Linked DNA regions of Elephas maximus indicus. The protein of the gene in region 1 purifies or fractionates together with the protein of each later gene. This does not show direct contact. Links are inferred from orthologs where the notes say so. Each region holds a gene or a part of one and is shown in the gene's direction. Other genes may lie near its edges.

Region 1 (7,519 bases):
ACTATCCAGTCTGTTAAGAGTAACCCACTGACAAGAAATTTAGCATGCCGTTCACTGGAGAAGGGAGAATGGATGGTTGCCAGCAAGGACAAAAAACTTTCACTCTCCTGAACGTCAGGAAAGGCCTTCAGTTGTAAATTACAATGAATGCAGTGTATACTAAATCTTTGAATAAAAGAACCACGTGCTTGGGATGGGATACTCAGAGCAATTTTTCTGAAAGAAGGTTGTCCACAGGAAGCCTTCCCATCATCGCTTGTGGATTGGGACCAGCCCAGAAGGACTTTCTTATTCATTATTTTTCGTTGGACAAATATTTATTTACTATTCTAAGTCTAAGCCCCAGTGATTCTGGTCTAGGTCATTTCCTTTATTCACTGTCACCAATGAGGACCTTGTGTTGCTTAACATAAGTAGCTAGCACAACATCGTACGTTGGTCTTTTTGAATCCAGACAGACACCCCACGAAGGTTAAATATTAACACATTTATAAGTATAAAACAATTACTTCAGTTTACCTAATAAAAATATAATACCAAATGAAAACAAAGTACAAGCTCAAACAAGTACAGTATGTTTTCTATTATAATAATTTTCCTTTAACTCCCTCACACAATTAAACAATATTTTAAGAAAATTACCTAGAATTCTATCACACTAAGATAATTCTTTTCATTTGTCTGCATTACTCTTCTACCATTTAGTCAAATATTTTTTCCTAAAATGTGTGGGGTGTTGTTCTTTTTTTTTTTCCTGTTTACAGGAGTAATGTTGTCTACTGGAGAAATTTTTAAAATAGAGCAATATATGAAAAATAAAATAACCATTATCCATATTACCGGTACCAGGAGACGATGGCTATTAATATTTTAGCGTATTTTCTTTAGCTCCTGATGATTTGGATGAAAACAATATGACCAGAAACAAAATTGGTATTTGTTACATTCCTCTTTTGCACGTTAAATTTTCAGATTTTTTTGTAATGAGATTTGCTTTTGTAATAAGAAAAACAAGCAATAAAGGAATGTATAAGAAAGCGGGATCTCTGTATGTCTTGTTCATCCATGTGCCCCAGTTCCCAGCACACTGCTTGTGTTGGGAAAAATATTTGTGAATGGCTAAGATTTTCACAAAAAACTAGTGAGACGGGGTTGCTAATGAGAAATAATGGGTATTATTTCTCTCGCTCCCTCTCTTTTTCCTTTTAGCAAACAGTTCATTCTAGAACATACAATCAGTTCTCAATAAGCTTGTTGTCTTTATTTAAGACTGACTGGATTCCAATTTCAACTCCAACACTCAGTAGCTATGTGACCTTGGCCAGAAATTTCAGACTCTCAGACTCCCCCATCAGCTTCCTCAGCTGCACAGCGCTGGTTCAGGTGCTGGGGATTTAACAAAACAAAGGCCACACCCTCACATTTACATTCTAGGGTAGGGGAGATAGCCTAGAACAAACCTCTGTCAGGTGGTGATAACTGCTATGAAAAAAATAAAATAGAGGAATGGGGCTACAGAGTGAGCATGGGTGGGGCCAGGTGGGGAGTGTTGCTATTTTATAAAAGGTGGTCAGAGAAAGCTAAAGATTTCAAAAATATACCTAGTGTTTTTGTGCACTTCAAGTTGAGACTGATTACGATCATGAAATCAATTGAGGGTGATCTGCATATTTAAAAAAAAAAGAAAATATAAAACCCCAGAGCAAATCACAGTTTGGTGTATAACTTGTTTCAGTTTATGTACACGTGTAGTTCTCCGTGGAACACCGTTGGGGCGGCCTGGAGAAAGTGGTAGTTAACACTTAGCAATTTTGAGGCAAGGGCTCTCTGAAGTAAGACCCTCCTCACCTTGTGTGTGCACCTGCTTCTGTTTTAATTAACAGCTCTAGCTGAGTACCAAAGAGACAAAAACACTACCACAGTAACAGCGGGAGAAAAGATCAGGATCAGGGCAAAGTGGCTGGGGAGAAAGGCAAAACAAAAATGAACAGTCCAGCAATTCAAAAGAGAAAATTGGTATCACATTTTTTGTGCTAAAAGTACCTGATGGGAAAAATATTAAAAAGAGAGAGAGAGAAATGAATTGACACATCCAATTTAACAACACAAACAAAAAACCCCCCAGCAAAATCCAAAGCTAACAACTATGTCGTGCATACTTCCCGATTAAACTTACGACTACTGCCTGCGCTGACTTGACGGCAACTAACAACAACTGGGTGAATATTTTCAGAAACTTCTAACTTATTGGTTCCATAGTCCCTTCTCTGACCCTCGGTGAGGTAGGCAGTATAAAGATTTTAAAGCCCTATCATCTGGGAAGATTTCTTGTCTTTCAACCCTGTAAACATTTAATTAAAAAAAAAAGGTTTGGGAAATCATGCCTACCCATTAGAAATGAGTAAGTTATTTTAATGGGAGACTGGAAATCTCTGCCAAGCCTTTTCTTGCTGTACAGACGAGAAGGTTCGCATTGAGGCAGTAATACCCAATTATTCCAGAGCAAAGTCAGCGAGCCAAAGCTAACCCGCCGCCTGTTTTTGTATGGCCAGGAACTATGAATATTTTTAAGCGATTGGGGAACAACAAAACGAAAGAAGAATATTTTGTGACGTGAAAACTTTATAAAATTCAAATGTCAGTGTCTATAAAGTTTTATTGGAATAGCCAGGTTCATTCGCATTGTTTATGGCTGCTTTAGTGCAACAACAACGGCAGAGCTGAGTAAACCAAAAAACAAAAAACCAAACTCACTGCCATGGAGTGGATTCGGACTCAGAGCGAGTCTATAGGACGGGGTAGAACTGCCCTATAGGATTTCCAAGGAGTGCTTGGTGGATTCGAACTGCCGACCTTCTGGTTAGCAGCCGAACTGTTAACCACTATGGCAACAGGGTTTACAAACCAAAATACCAAACGCCTTGCGGTCGAGTCGATGGCGACTCATATATAAATGCCTGCAATGCCTAAAATGTTTACTATCGGGCCCTTTGGAGACAAAGTTCGCCGGATCTGGGTTCTAGAATGTGAGGGCTGTACTGCTTAAAGTACCTTCCAATCCTCTTCCCTCTCCAGCCATCACCTCAGGCAAGAAAAGATTCCTGTGCCTGACGCGGACAGAGGGCGATTTATTAATGAATTGTATAGTCAACCCAAAACACCGGACAGTAAATTTCTATATAAGGTAACAGGAGTGGCTCTGCCACCGACTTGAGTGATTTCTGGGTTTCTTCTACGATCACAAAATTGAGCATCACCCCAGCACTTGCACTGTCTCATGCGAGCGTCGCCGCGGTCACCCGCGTGAAGGCATTTGGAAAGTTGTCAAGGCAACCAGTGCTCCGAAGATACTCTTGAAGGGGGACTGCAGTTCTCTTTGCCTGTCAGTCCCTCAGCCGCCTCCCCCACCCGGCCCCTCGACTTCGGCTTCGGGCCCTGATTTTCGCCTCTAGCTTCCCCTTTCGGCTTTCCAGCCCGCGTTCTCATCCCCACACAGTCCTCGGACTACCAAATTCCCGCGTCGGGATTCAGGGGAGCTGGGCCAGCTCATTCCAGCTCTCCCGGTTCCAGCCGGTTGAGGTGAGGTCGCCCCGGGACCCCTGCAGGCAAGAAAAGTGGCTCGGCAGGGTGCGGGGCTGGGCCCGAGGCCCCTGCAGTGCAAGGAGGCCGCACTTAAAGACTTAAACGTGCAAACAAACGAACACTTTATTCCAGTCGGCCTTGGCTCCTTTGGCACCGTTTCGGCTGCCTGTGTCATCGCAGGCCGCACGTTCAGCCTAACAGGGCGGCCTGGCGGCCCTGCAGTCAGAAAACGCCCGGGGCCTCTCCCAAAGGCCCCTTCGACGCCCACAAAGCCCACCGCAGCCCGCCTGGGTCCGCCGCCGGCTCCAGGAAAGGCCAGGCCCTGCTGAAGGGGAGCCTTTCGGGGTGCACAGAATTGCAAGGGGATGACTACTGGGGAGGTTTTTGAGAGTGCACTAATTTCTCGAGAACAGAAAACACTCCCTAAGACTACGACCCTGAGTCTCTGAATTCCTCTTTCCCTCGGGCCTTGGCTTCGCTAAGGTCCTCAAGCTCCCTGCCCCCCTCTCCCGCCTCCCGCCTCCCCGCCCCCCCCAGCCGCCGCTTCAAACAACCACGCCCCGCGGCCCCAGGGCTCGCTGCCCCAAGGCTCACAGCCCCCGCGCAGCCCGGCACGCCGCGCCTCCATTCGCCCTGCCCCCTCGCCCCCATCCGCCCCCGCGGCCGGCCCTGGGAGTGCCGGGCGAGGCCTGGCGCCTGCGCCTCGCCAACTTCCTGCCGCGGAGCGCCCCGCCCACCCCCAGAAGCCTGCCCCCGAACGCCGCGCGAGACCCGCCCGCCTCACGCCATTGGTCGAGACGGAGGAGCCGTTGGCTCCCAGGACCGCCTCTCCGCCGCCTCTCACTTTTCCCAGAGCGGGTGCGCCTGCGCTCAGCTGCCTGGGCGGGCTGAGAGGCGCGGGTTGAAAAGTCTCGTTCCAAGTTTGGAGAGAGAGAGAAGAGCGCCTCAGACCTCGGTACCTGCGAGCGTGAGGAGGCAGGAAAGAAGAACGCGGCGTCTGGGGAGGACCCAGGCGGCAGGCCGGAGCTCAGGCTTCGAGAGCTCGAAGTGCGTGACGCGCCTGGGAAAGGCAGGAGCGTCTGCGGTCGAGCTGCACTTGGCTAGTGAGGGGAGTCCGAGGCGGCGGCGAGGGGCGAACGACCCGACGCAAGATGGCGAGTAAAGAGAGTAAGAGGCCCTGCGGGGCGGCGCGCGCCGGGCTGCGGGGGGCGGCGGGCGAGCCAGGCCGCGGCACGCGCCGGTGAAAGGCGCGAATCGGCGTGCGGAGCGGGGGCGGGGCCGGCGCGAGGTGGGGCGCGCGCCTCGAGGGGCCTGCGCGGGACGGGCCGCAGCGCTGAGGGCGCCGAGCACTTCCGGAGCCGGGCGCGGGGCCCAGGGGTGGGCCCCCGGCCGAGGCGCTCCCTCCGGCGTCCTCGGCGCGGGAACGGCGGCTCGCTCCACGCGCGCGCGGCGGCCGCCTCGGGTCGCGGCCCTGGTCGGCGGGCTTCGGGAGCGGGCGGGCCTATGGCTGTCCACGCGGGCGTCGTGGGAGCGGGGCCTAGCGGGGCGGGGGCCGGAGGGCAGGGGCTGATGGTTGTCCGTTCCGTGTGCATTTGTCTGTCCGAGCGGATCGGGATCCGGGTCGTCCTTTTTACACAGGTGCGAGCAGCTGTAAGAGACCGAACAATCTCTAAGGTCAGCGGCAGTTTGATGGCCGTGTAATTACCGAGATCTGTGGACGCAGGAGATACTGATCTCACAGTGCGAAAAATAAGCTGCTTGGTGTTAATATTTTCCCCACGTTCCGGAGGAGCAGTTTGTTGTTCGTGTCCAAATTCGAGAGAGGGGGGAAAGAGTAGGTTAGGTGTGGCCATCTCGGGGCGACCTCCAGTCGCTGGGTGCAGATTCTGAGTGTCGTCTCTCAGCTTAATCCTGTGGGCTTTCTCCAAATTGCAGTGTTCGAAGATACTGTGGAGGAGCGTGTCATCAATGAAGAATATAAAATCTGGAAGAAGAATACACCGTTTCTGTATGACCTGGTTATGACCCATGCTCTTCAGTGGCCGAGTCTTACGGTTCAGTGGCTTCCTGAAGTGACTAAGTAAGGGTTTCTGGCAACTTTTATTCTGCATAAATTTAACTGTCCTCATGAATTTCCTAGTTTTGGCGTTTTACACACAGAACATAAGAGGTAATGAATTGGCCCTTGAATGAGGTGATAGGTTGTGTTTTCAAAATTGAAGTGATTTATGGGATAATTTCTGATGTATAAATGTGCCATTGAAAAGGGAGAAAGAATCTGTTGACATTAATAATGTTTATAGGAAACACAAGGCATTTGACATTTCTTGGGTTTATATAGAGAGCAGTATCTGGGCCTCAGACTAGTGCATTTCTGTAAAATTTTATTGAAAAATGGCATATGTACAGAAAAAGCACACAGATTGGAAGCATATGGCTTGATAAATTTTTACAAAGTGAACACACCATGTAACCGGCACTCAAGACAAATACCTTTTAATTGGCAAAGGAAAAAAGAATTTGGCAACAGTCCACCAAAGAAAGGGTGTTGTTACTGGCTTATAGTGTGAAATACACTTTGAGATTGCTATTAGTCTTCATAAGAGTGGTCGTTTCAGCTAGTTCTTATATTTGTCTGAGTAATAATTGCTGATAGGGAGCCCTGGTGAGCAGTGGTTAAAGCACTCAGCTGCTAACCGGAAGGTCGACGGTTCAAGCCCACCAGCCTTTCCTAGGGAGAAAGACGTGGTAATCTGCTTCTGTAAAGATTATAGCGTTAGAAACCCTTTGGTGCAGTTCTCCACTGTCCTACAGGGTTGCTATGAGTCGGAATCCACTCGACGGCAAGTGGTATCGGTAATAATTGCTGACACTTACTGAGCACCTAGAACAGGGCCTGTCGCATCTGAAGAGTTTTATGTCCTATTATTTGGTGTAATCCTCACAGCAATACTATGATATAGGCACTTTTTATCGTCTCCGTTTGCTGATCAGAAAACTGAGGCTGAGCGCTTAAGTGATACGTCCGAGATCATGCAGCTGGTAAGTGCCGGAGTAGATGTAAAAACTCAGAAGACTGGCTGGCTCCAGAGTTCAGGCAGCCCCTGCGCTAGACACCCTCACTCAACCCCATTTCTGTCAGGAACGTGGCTATGTACATATTTTTAAAATTGTATTGGCTTTGGATATTGTGAGCATATAATTCAGTGAACATCTAATCAAATTCTAACCTAGAAAGAAGATTTTTGAAAGGTTATGATTTTATCTAAAATTAATTTACTTCTATAAGAACTACATTTCCCATATGCAAACATTGAGCTCCACACAGGTAGGGGCATCCATCGGTGCTCCTGAAAATCTGAGTGTAAATGTACAGATAAGGGAAGAGTAGCCACGAACCAAATAATAGAGACTTCTAAACGTTGGCAGTTGTAGCTGCCTTTGAACAGATTTTTAAAATAGAGTGACCATCATATACTTTAAAGATACGCAGGTGCTGGATTGGAGCATCCTGTGAATTTGACTCTCTCTATCTTCCTGTTAAGCAAATTTAAAACTTTTCAGCAACTTACTTCCTCTTGAATTTCTTGACTTACTCTAACATAATAGGAGAAAACAGGGGCTTTAAGGCCAGAGATCTGGGTTCAAATCCTGCCCCTGCTTCCAGGTAGCCTTGTGGCCTGGGCCAAGTTGTTAGTTTGTAATCCCTACCTGCCCAAGGTGTCTGTGAGTGGAGATGCCAATAGTGCCGACTGCCTGCACTGGAGGTAAAGCCTCTGGCACAAACTAGGTGGTAACTGTTAAATGTTACCTGTAATGTGTTTTGCTTATATTTTTTTTTAGCAATAATCTGTGTGTTCCTCTTAGCCCAGACTTATTGCTTTTACTATTAGCACATAGGAACTTAAGAGAAAATGCTTTTTTTTTAATTACATAT
Region 2 (7,375 bases), on another chromosome or scaffold:
TAGACAGCATATTGATGAGTCCTAAATTTTTTGTCCATTCTGTCACTCTCCATCTGTATGGGTGGATTTAAGCCATTTACGTTCAGTGTGATTATTGATAGGTTTGCGTTTATTGCTGTCATTTTGCAGTGCTTTTTTGGTGGGGCTGATGTTTTCTTTGTTCTTTTTGCTCTTCTGTGCTGAATTCTTTTGTTTGTGGACTTTTTTCATTTCTTTTGTTTTTGTAGATTTTGTGTTTACTGAGATTTTATGTTTTTCTTCTTTGGTTTGTAGGTTTGTTGACTTTCTTATGGTTACCTTGAAATTTACCTCTGTCTTCCAAAGTTTAAACCATTCTTTTATACTTCATATCACCTTGGCTTCCTATCCATTTGACAGTTCTGTACCTACACCGTTTATTCCCTCTTTTATTGTTCTGATGTTGTCGTCATTTACAGATTGACCTCTCTGGTTCTCTTGTAAATCTTTTAATTTTGTTTTATCCTTGAGAGTTCATTATCTAGGTTGGTGTCTGGCTAATGCTGTCTTGTGTCCTAGATTCAGGTTGTCATCTGATGTTGGTGGTTCTCTAACTGAAGGACTCCCTTTAATAATTCTTGTAAGGTTGTGGTTTGGTTTTTACATATACCTTTAATTTCTGTTTGTCTGGAAATGCTCTAATTGCGCCATCATATTTGCACAAAAGTTTTGCAGGATATATTGTTCTTGGTTGGCAGTTTTTTCTTTCAAGACTTTATATATGTCATCCTATTGCCTTCTTGCCTGCATGGTTTCTTCAAAGTAATCAGAGCTTAGTCTTTTTTTTTCCCCCGTTTGTATGTGACTAGAAATGAAGTCTTGATACATGCCTCAATTTGAGTGGAGCTTGAAGACACGCTGCGAGAAATAATCTAGTCACAAAAGGGCAAATATTCTCGACCTCACTTACATAAAAAGACAAGAAAAGGCAAATATATAGATACCAAAGTTTATTAGTGGTTACCAGGGGCAGGAAGCAGGGGGAAAGATGGGATTACCCATGATGGAAAAATCACATTGATTAAGGGTCGAGTTGTACAGCCGATTATTGTAGTTGCTCCCAAGAAGTTGTACAACTGTAAAAAGTTGAGTTGGCTAAAGTGGTGAGATCAGTATATTTACAAGAGTGACAAAAAGTGTAAGTGCTTAGGTTGCTTATGTACAACCATAACCACATAGGATTTGATTCCATGGTTTGGATATCTGGTTGATTGGCCTAATAACATGTTCAGTGCTTCTGTTCTATCTCCTAGTTCCTTGTGTAGTGCCTGGGGTGTTTAAAGCTTGCAAGCGTCCATCCAAGGCAAAATAATTGGTCTCTATTCGCCTGGGGCAACAGATTAAGAAGGAGAGTCAGGAACAGAAGGAAGATATGGGATGTTTGGCTAATTGCTTCTGTGAAACAACTGCTACCTTTGCCATAAGACCAGAAGAACTGGGTGGTGCCTGGCTACCACTAGTGAACATTTTGATCAAGGATTCTATAGAAGACTCCTGATCCAAAGGGGGAAAATACAGAATGGAATTTCAAATTCCCATGGACTTCAGACTTTCTGGAGCCATGGGGGCTGGATGAACCCCTGAAATTATTGCCCTGAGATAATCTTTAAACCTTGAACCAAAAACATCCCTGACGTCTTCTTAACGCCAAACAATAGTTTAACTTAACTATTAAAAAATGCCTGCTTTGAGCATTATCCTCGTTTAAGAACTATCTATATGGTATCAGATTGTTAGGTAGGAACCTTAGTGGGCAGTGAGTTTATGTTAATGGCAAAGGAACAACTTAGAAAAGGAGGGTGAGAGTGGTTGCACAACTTGAAGAATGTAATCCGTGTCACTGAATTGTACATGTAGAAAGTGTTGAACTGGTGTATGTTTTGGTATGTATATTAACAAGAAAATATATAAATAAAATTAAAAACAATTCTTTGGGACAGTTCTACTTTGTGACATGGGATTGCTGTGAGTCGGAGTGTATTTGATAATACTCAACAACAATGATACAGCTTTACTCCCATCCACCTCCTTTGTGCTGTTATTGTCAAATATGTTACATTTCTATATAATAGAAGCTGAACAGTGTCTGCAGATGGATAGTCCAGTGCTTTTGGTTACGCAGGTCTTTTTGATTTGTTGCTATTAAAATTGTTATAACACCAGAACCTAGGGGCCATTGGGCTTATCTCGGTTGGCAACCTTGTTTCCTAACAGTAGCAGGGATGAGCAACCTTTGGAGCTCCTAACTCAGCAGAGCTAACAAGAGAAAGGAAAGGGGAATATTTAAATTAGGGACCAGGAAGGATCAAATTTTTAAGAAAACTTACGTCCACATGATTAAAATGTAAAGTCTGTTTATATTTAGTGAGTTGATGTTGTAAGTAATTACTGAAATCATTGATTGAGGAACATAGAATTTTGTTTATTGCATATATTTACCATCCCCTCACACACACAGAACATTTATCGTTACCAAATTGTCAAGGTGGAGAAAGTGGCGACTAAAGGAACACAATGGGTTGTATACTGGTGTTGGAGTCAGTCTTCCCTGGGTTCAAATTCCAGCATTTCTGCTTACTAGCTCTGAGTTAACATTAGAGCCTTGGTTTCAACCTTCATCACATTATTCTGTCACTGACATCTGAATCACTTTCCAAGAATTTGTGTAAACAGAATTCTTAGGTATTGGTGCTGTTTATTTTAGAATTATTGTTGAGCTTTGTCATTGTGTTTAATTAGTGAAAACTCTAAATTGGAAAAATGAAACAAAATAAGAAACAGTGCTTTGTTACCTTTAAGGAAGTTAATGGTGATATGTTGTTTGTGGAATGACTATAAGCTATAATGCAATTTTTTAGTATGTAGTTTTGGAGTCTTTTGCTTTAAAAGGGTGGGTATGAGTCGGAATCGACTCGACAGCACTGGGTTTGGTTTGGTTTTCGATTTGCTTTAAAAAAAGAATGCTCTTGTAATATAATTGTTATTTCAGTGTGATTTGTGAAATTGGTGGTTCTCAGTCTTTTTTATTTTTAAACTCCCAGTATGTATATTTGAGGGACTGTAACATAACTCCCATCAGTAAAAAAGGCTTGCTTCAGTAGTGATACCCTGTAGGAGGAGGGTAATGATTAACCTCCCGATGAGTGTAAATATAACCAACTACCCCCAAAGTCACTGGCGTAGTATGAACTTTAACTGTATTTGCCATAATCAAGAGATTAAAATTTAATTCATTTTTATTGTTTATCAAGTGTGTATGAAATTGTGCTGTGTAACCTCTTTAGAGAGTCCCTGGGTAGAGCAAATGGTTAAGTGCTCAACTACTAACCAACAGGTTGGCAATTCAAACCCACCCAGAGGTGCCTTGGAAGAAAAGCTTGGTGATCTGCTTCTGAAAGGACACATGGTTGAAAACCTTATGGAGCACAGTTGTACTCTGCAGCACGTGGGACTGCCATGAGTTGGAATCAACTTAATGGCAACCTTGTGTTTTTTTTTTTTTTAACTTCTTTTAGTTTATCTAAACCCAGTTATGAAATTCACATCATCCTTTGCTCCTGACCATAGCCTAGCCACCTCAAGTTACAGCTACTTTTTTGATGCTGTGTTATCTTGGCATGGTGCTGTTGCCTGGCCTCACTTAGGGTAGGCACTGACAATATTGAGAACTGCTATACTGTTATTTTAAACTACTTTGTTTTTAGAGAGTATTTGTGATCTTGAGGTACCTCTGTTCTACAACTATTCCACATCTGTCCCATGTCATCTGTTCCACATCATCTATTCCACCTCTATTCCTTCTCTACTCCGTGTCTGTTCCACCCCATTCTACCCCTGTTCCACTATTGCACATCTATTCTACACCTGCTCTATATTTTTCTGCAATTTAAGATTTTTCACAGATTAGTTTTTTAAATTAAAATATACATCATTGGCATAGGTTCTACAAGTAAGTTAGTCTAATATATGGTCTTTTATTTCTTAAACAGAGACTCTACAGGGGCAGGTAATTCACTGGTCCACAAGCGGTCTCCTTTACGCCGAAACCAAAAGGCCCCAACATCCTTGACCAAGCTGTCTTTACAGGATGGACATAAAGCCAAAAAGCCAGCATGTAAATTTGAAGAAGGTCAGGATGTCCTAGCTAGATGGTCAGATGGCTTGTTTTATCTTGGAACTATCAAAAAGGCAAGTTTCCTTAATATAAGATGTCTTTTTCTATTTTTGTAGTAAGCTTTTAGTAATCTTAAGCCTTTAAATTTAACTTCATATTTTTCATTTTTAAAGAGATTACTGTAAATATTCCTCTGTGTTACAGATAAACATACTGAAACAGAGCTGTTTCATCATATTTGAAGATAGTTCTAAATCCTGGGTTCTCTGGAAGGACATTCAAACAGGCAGGTGCCACTCTTTCTCTTGAACGTGATTTATACTAAAATGTGATTTTCTTCAACTTGTCGTCATTCTAGTGTTACCTGTTGAATACAGTAAATTAAGATAATATTTTTGAGGAGAGGTCAAAAAAATAATCATCCTTTATAGTCTCCAAGAGTTATACTCTATATAGAAGACTATAAGAAGACCAAAAATACTGTTAGAGTTGGAGGTAGATTAGAGGAAAGATGTATCACTGACTCAGAAATGTAACCTATTGTTAGGTAAAATATGACCCTTCTAAGAACTTGGAAAAAAATTCTGAGCCACTGATATGAGTAACAATTTGGGATTCAATTTAACTGTTACTTGCTAACTTCTGAGTTGGAATTGACTCGATGGCACTGGGTTTGGTTTTTTTTTGGTTTTTCCTAACTTAGTACAAAGCAATGCAGAAAGCTAATATTTATTGAGAGCATACTATTTGCCAGAAGCTTTGGGGGCATTAGAATATATTAAACCAATTTAGAGTACTAGAAATATTAATGAGAATGTTTGAAATTATTGTTTAATTATGGTTTTTTATGTTTAGATGGGAAAATGAGGCTATATTTGGGTACAAGTAAAAATGAATACAGGTATGCCTTGGTTTGGTTATAGGTACGTTTCTTGTAACGATTTCGGCTATAAATATAATTGCTGTATGCCCTTTGAATCTACTAAATATAGGTGTTTTTCAGGTATATCTTTCATGGGAAATGCTTCATTTATAAAAAAAAATTGAGTCATTATTAATAATTTGAACACTTTAGCTTCTTAATAAAGCCCAACTTTGGTTTTCCTTTTGTTGGGTTAATAGGCCTATGTTTTGTGTCTCCTCTGGTAGAAAGGAGCATAAACTTTCTTTTCTTAAAGGATAGATACCTTTCTAAAGTATTTAGCTGTTGGATCCTTTATTTGAACCCTGAGTGCAACTTTATTGTAGATTACTTGCTGTTTTTAATTTCTTGGTTTTTCTCCAAATTGTTCTCAAAGAAAAAAAATAAAAAACATTTTAAAGTGCAGCTCTACTCTGAAATGCATGAGGTCACCATGAGTTGGAATTTACTCAGCAACAATTGATTTTTTTGGTTTTAGTAAAGGAATTCCAATATTCTAATTACCATCTGTATACTTGATACTTAGGTGGGGAACTCAGTAGCTGTTTCTCCAGTAAAATGTTTTTCCAGAAAAATTTTGTATAGATTCGGAAACTGATCAGTATAAAGGACTTTAGATAGGTTTTGAATCTGAAATTGAGGTGTCAGTGAGAAAAGTTTGAACCATAAGATTTAAAGGGGTAGATGGTCTCCAACAGTGATAATACTGAGCAGATCTTAGTACCCTGCATACAGAATTATTTATTTCTAATCTTGTGAATATGGACTTCCCCCCATATAAAAGTGACAAAGAAAGAAGAAAACCAATGATGCATAGAGATGTAAAACCAAGAAAACCAAACCCAGTGCCCTTGAGTTGATTCCAACTCACAGCGACCCTATAGGACAGAGTAGAACTGCCCCATAGAATTTACAAGGAGTGCCTGGCAGATTCGAACTGCCAGTCCTTTGGTTGGCAGCTGCAGCACTTAACCGCTATGTCACCAGGGTTTCCAGAGAGATGCAAAGTTGTGAAAGTGAGGGGTCCAGACCAGCCTGTGTTCTAGTGTATCAGTTTGGTGATCTGTGGTGGCTCTTTCCTCACCGGCTCCTTTTACTGTCCCTAGAATTACAAAGGGGTACTCTTTTGCCATTTAACTCTTTGTAGCCCACAAAGAATAGCACCCATGAAACTTGGAATTGAAACTAGTAAATGAACAGTCTCCACTAGCCTTTGAGACGTGATACCTGAAAACTGCGTTAGGCAGATTTCAGTGTGGGGAGTAGCTTTAGTAGCTTTCTTCCCTGTAAGAAACCTGTTAATAATAGATATATATTAAAAAAGTAATGAATTAGCTTAACTTTCCTCATCTCATAAGATTCTTTGAAAGGTTTACATAAATAAGGATAGTATTTGATAATAGCCAGATGTTGCATTACAGCAGAAAAGTATCATGTTAAGACTACTAAATAAGTTAAAAAAGATTTCTAATACTTAATGCTACTGTGGTTTCTGTGAAAATGATACACTTGAATACCTGGTAGCAGTGTAAGTTTCTGTTTTATTACTTTAGCATTTGCATTAAACGCATAAAAATATTTACACTTCTTAATTTACCCAGAGTCTGACCTCCAACAGTTTATTTAAAAAAAAAAATTCAAAAGTTAAAAAAAGTTAGATGAAAATGTTTATTGTAGCTTTATTTTAAAAACAATATAATTTAGTATTTCCAGGGTTAAATGGTCAGCAATTGGATTTAGAGTTAAAGGAGTCTATAGAAGGCCACTAAGTTAAACTGGAAAATTCTTATAAATTTGATGATAAAAAAGCTGTATCTGAATTTCACAAGTAAATGTTATTCCCATTTCCCTCAGGATTATTTCCTGAGGTGAACACAATATTTGTTGGGTCAGCATCCCCTTTCCTGGGGAACTGCCTTCCCCTTCATGGATGCAGTGGGAGTCAAGTCAAGCACTTACCCAAGCTGAGGCCATCGATTCCTTTTCAGGGTACTGCAGATTTGAGCTGAGAGGATTTAAACTCAGTTTGGCTACTATCCTGAATGAATCCATAAACATAGAAGCTGTGGGGAGGGCACGTCCTGCCACGTTCACCAGGAAGTAGATGAAGCCTGGGAGAGGAGGGGAGAGAGGACAAGATACCAAAACAAACAAGCAAAAACCAACCAACAGACAAACACAAAAACCCAATGTGGAAACCTGCATGTCCAAGAATAGAGAAATACAGTAAATTTGATTCCGTTTACTGGATGGAATATTATATTGCCATTAGAAGTTATAATTTTGAAAACTGGCAGCGTGAAAAGTACTTTTGGTAGAAG

What was found. Proteins that work in one complex are often made in the same cells at the same time.
Region 2: the proteins of RBBP7 (region 1) and MTF2 purify together in Homo sapiens (affinity purification with mass spectrometry; 4 studies listed by BioGRID and IntAct, counting the BioPlex papers as one, with this or other methods). This does not show direct contact. The link is inferred for Elephas maximus indicus from reciprocal best matches to the Homo sapiens genes RBBP7 and MTF2.

What each region holds. Positions count from the first base shown.
Region 1 is NC_064846.1:162,733,447-162,740,965, forward strand, and holds the start of RBBP7 (histone-binding protein RBBP7), read left to right. Parts: upstream 1-4,424; 5' UTR 4,425-4,733; coding exon 4,734-4,749; intron 4,750-5,517; coding exon 5,518-5,662; intron 5,663-7,519. UniProt on the Homo sapiens protein: Core histone-binding subunit that may target chromatin remodeling factors, histone acetyltransferases and histone deacetylases to their histone substrates in a manner that is regulated by nucleosomal DNA.
Region 2 is NC_064821.1:149,096,443-149,103,817, reverse strand, and holds the start of MTF2 (metal-response element-binding transcription factor 2), read left to right. Parts: upstream 1-4,277; 5' UTR 4,278-4,418; intron 4,419-7,375. UniProt on the Homo sapiens protein: Polycomb group (PcG) protein that specifically binds histone H3 trimethylated at 'Lys-36' (H3K36me3) and recruits the PRC2 complex, thus enhancing PRC2 H3K27me3 methylation activity.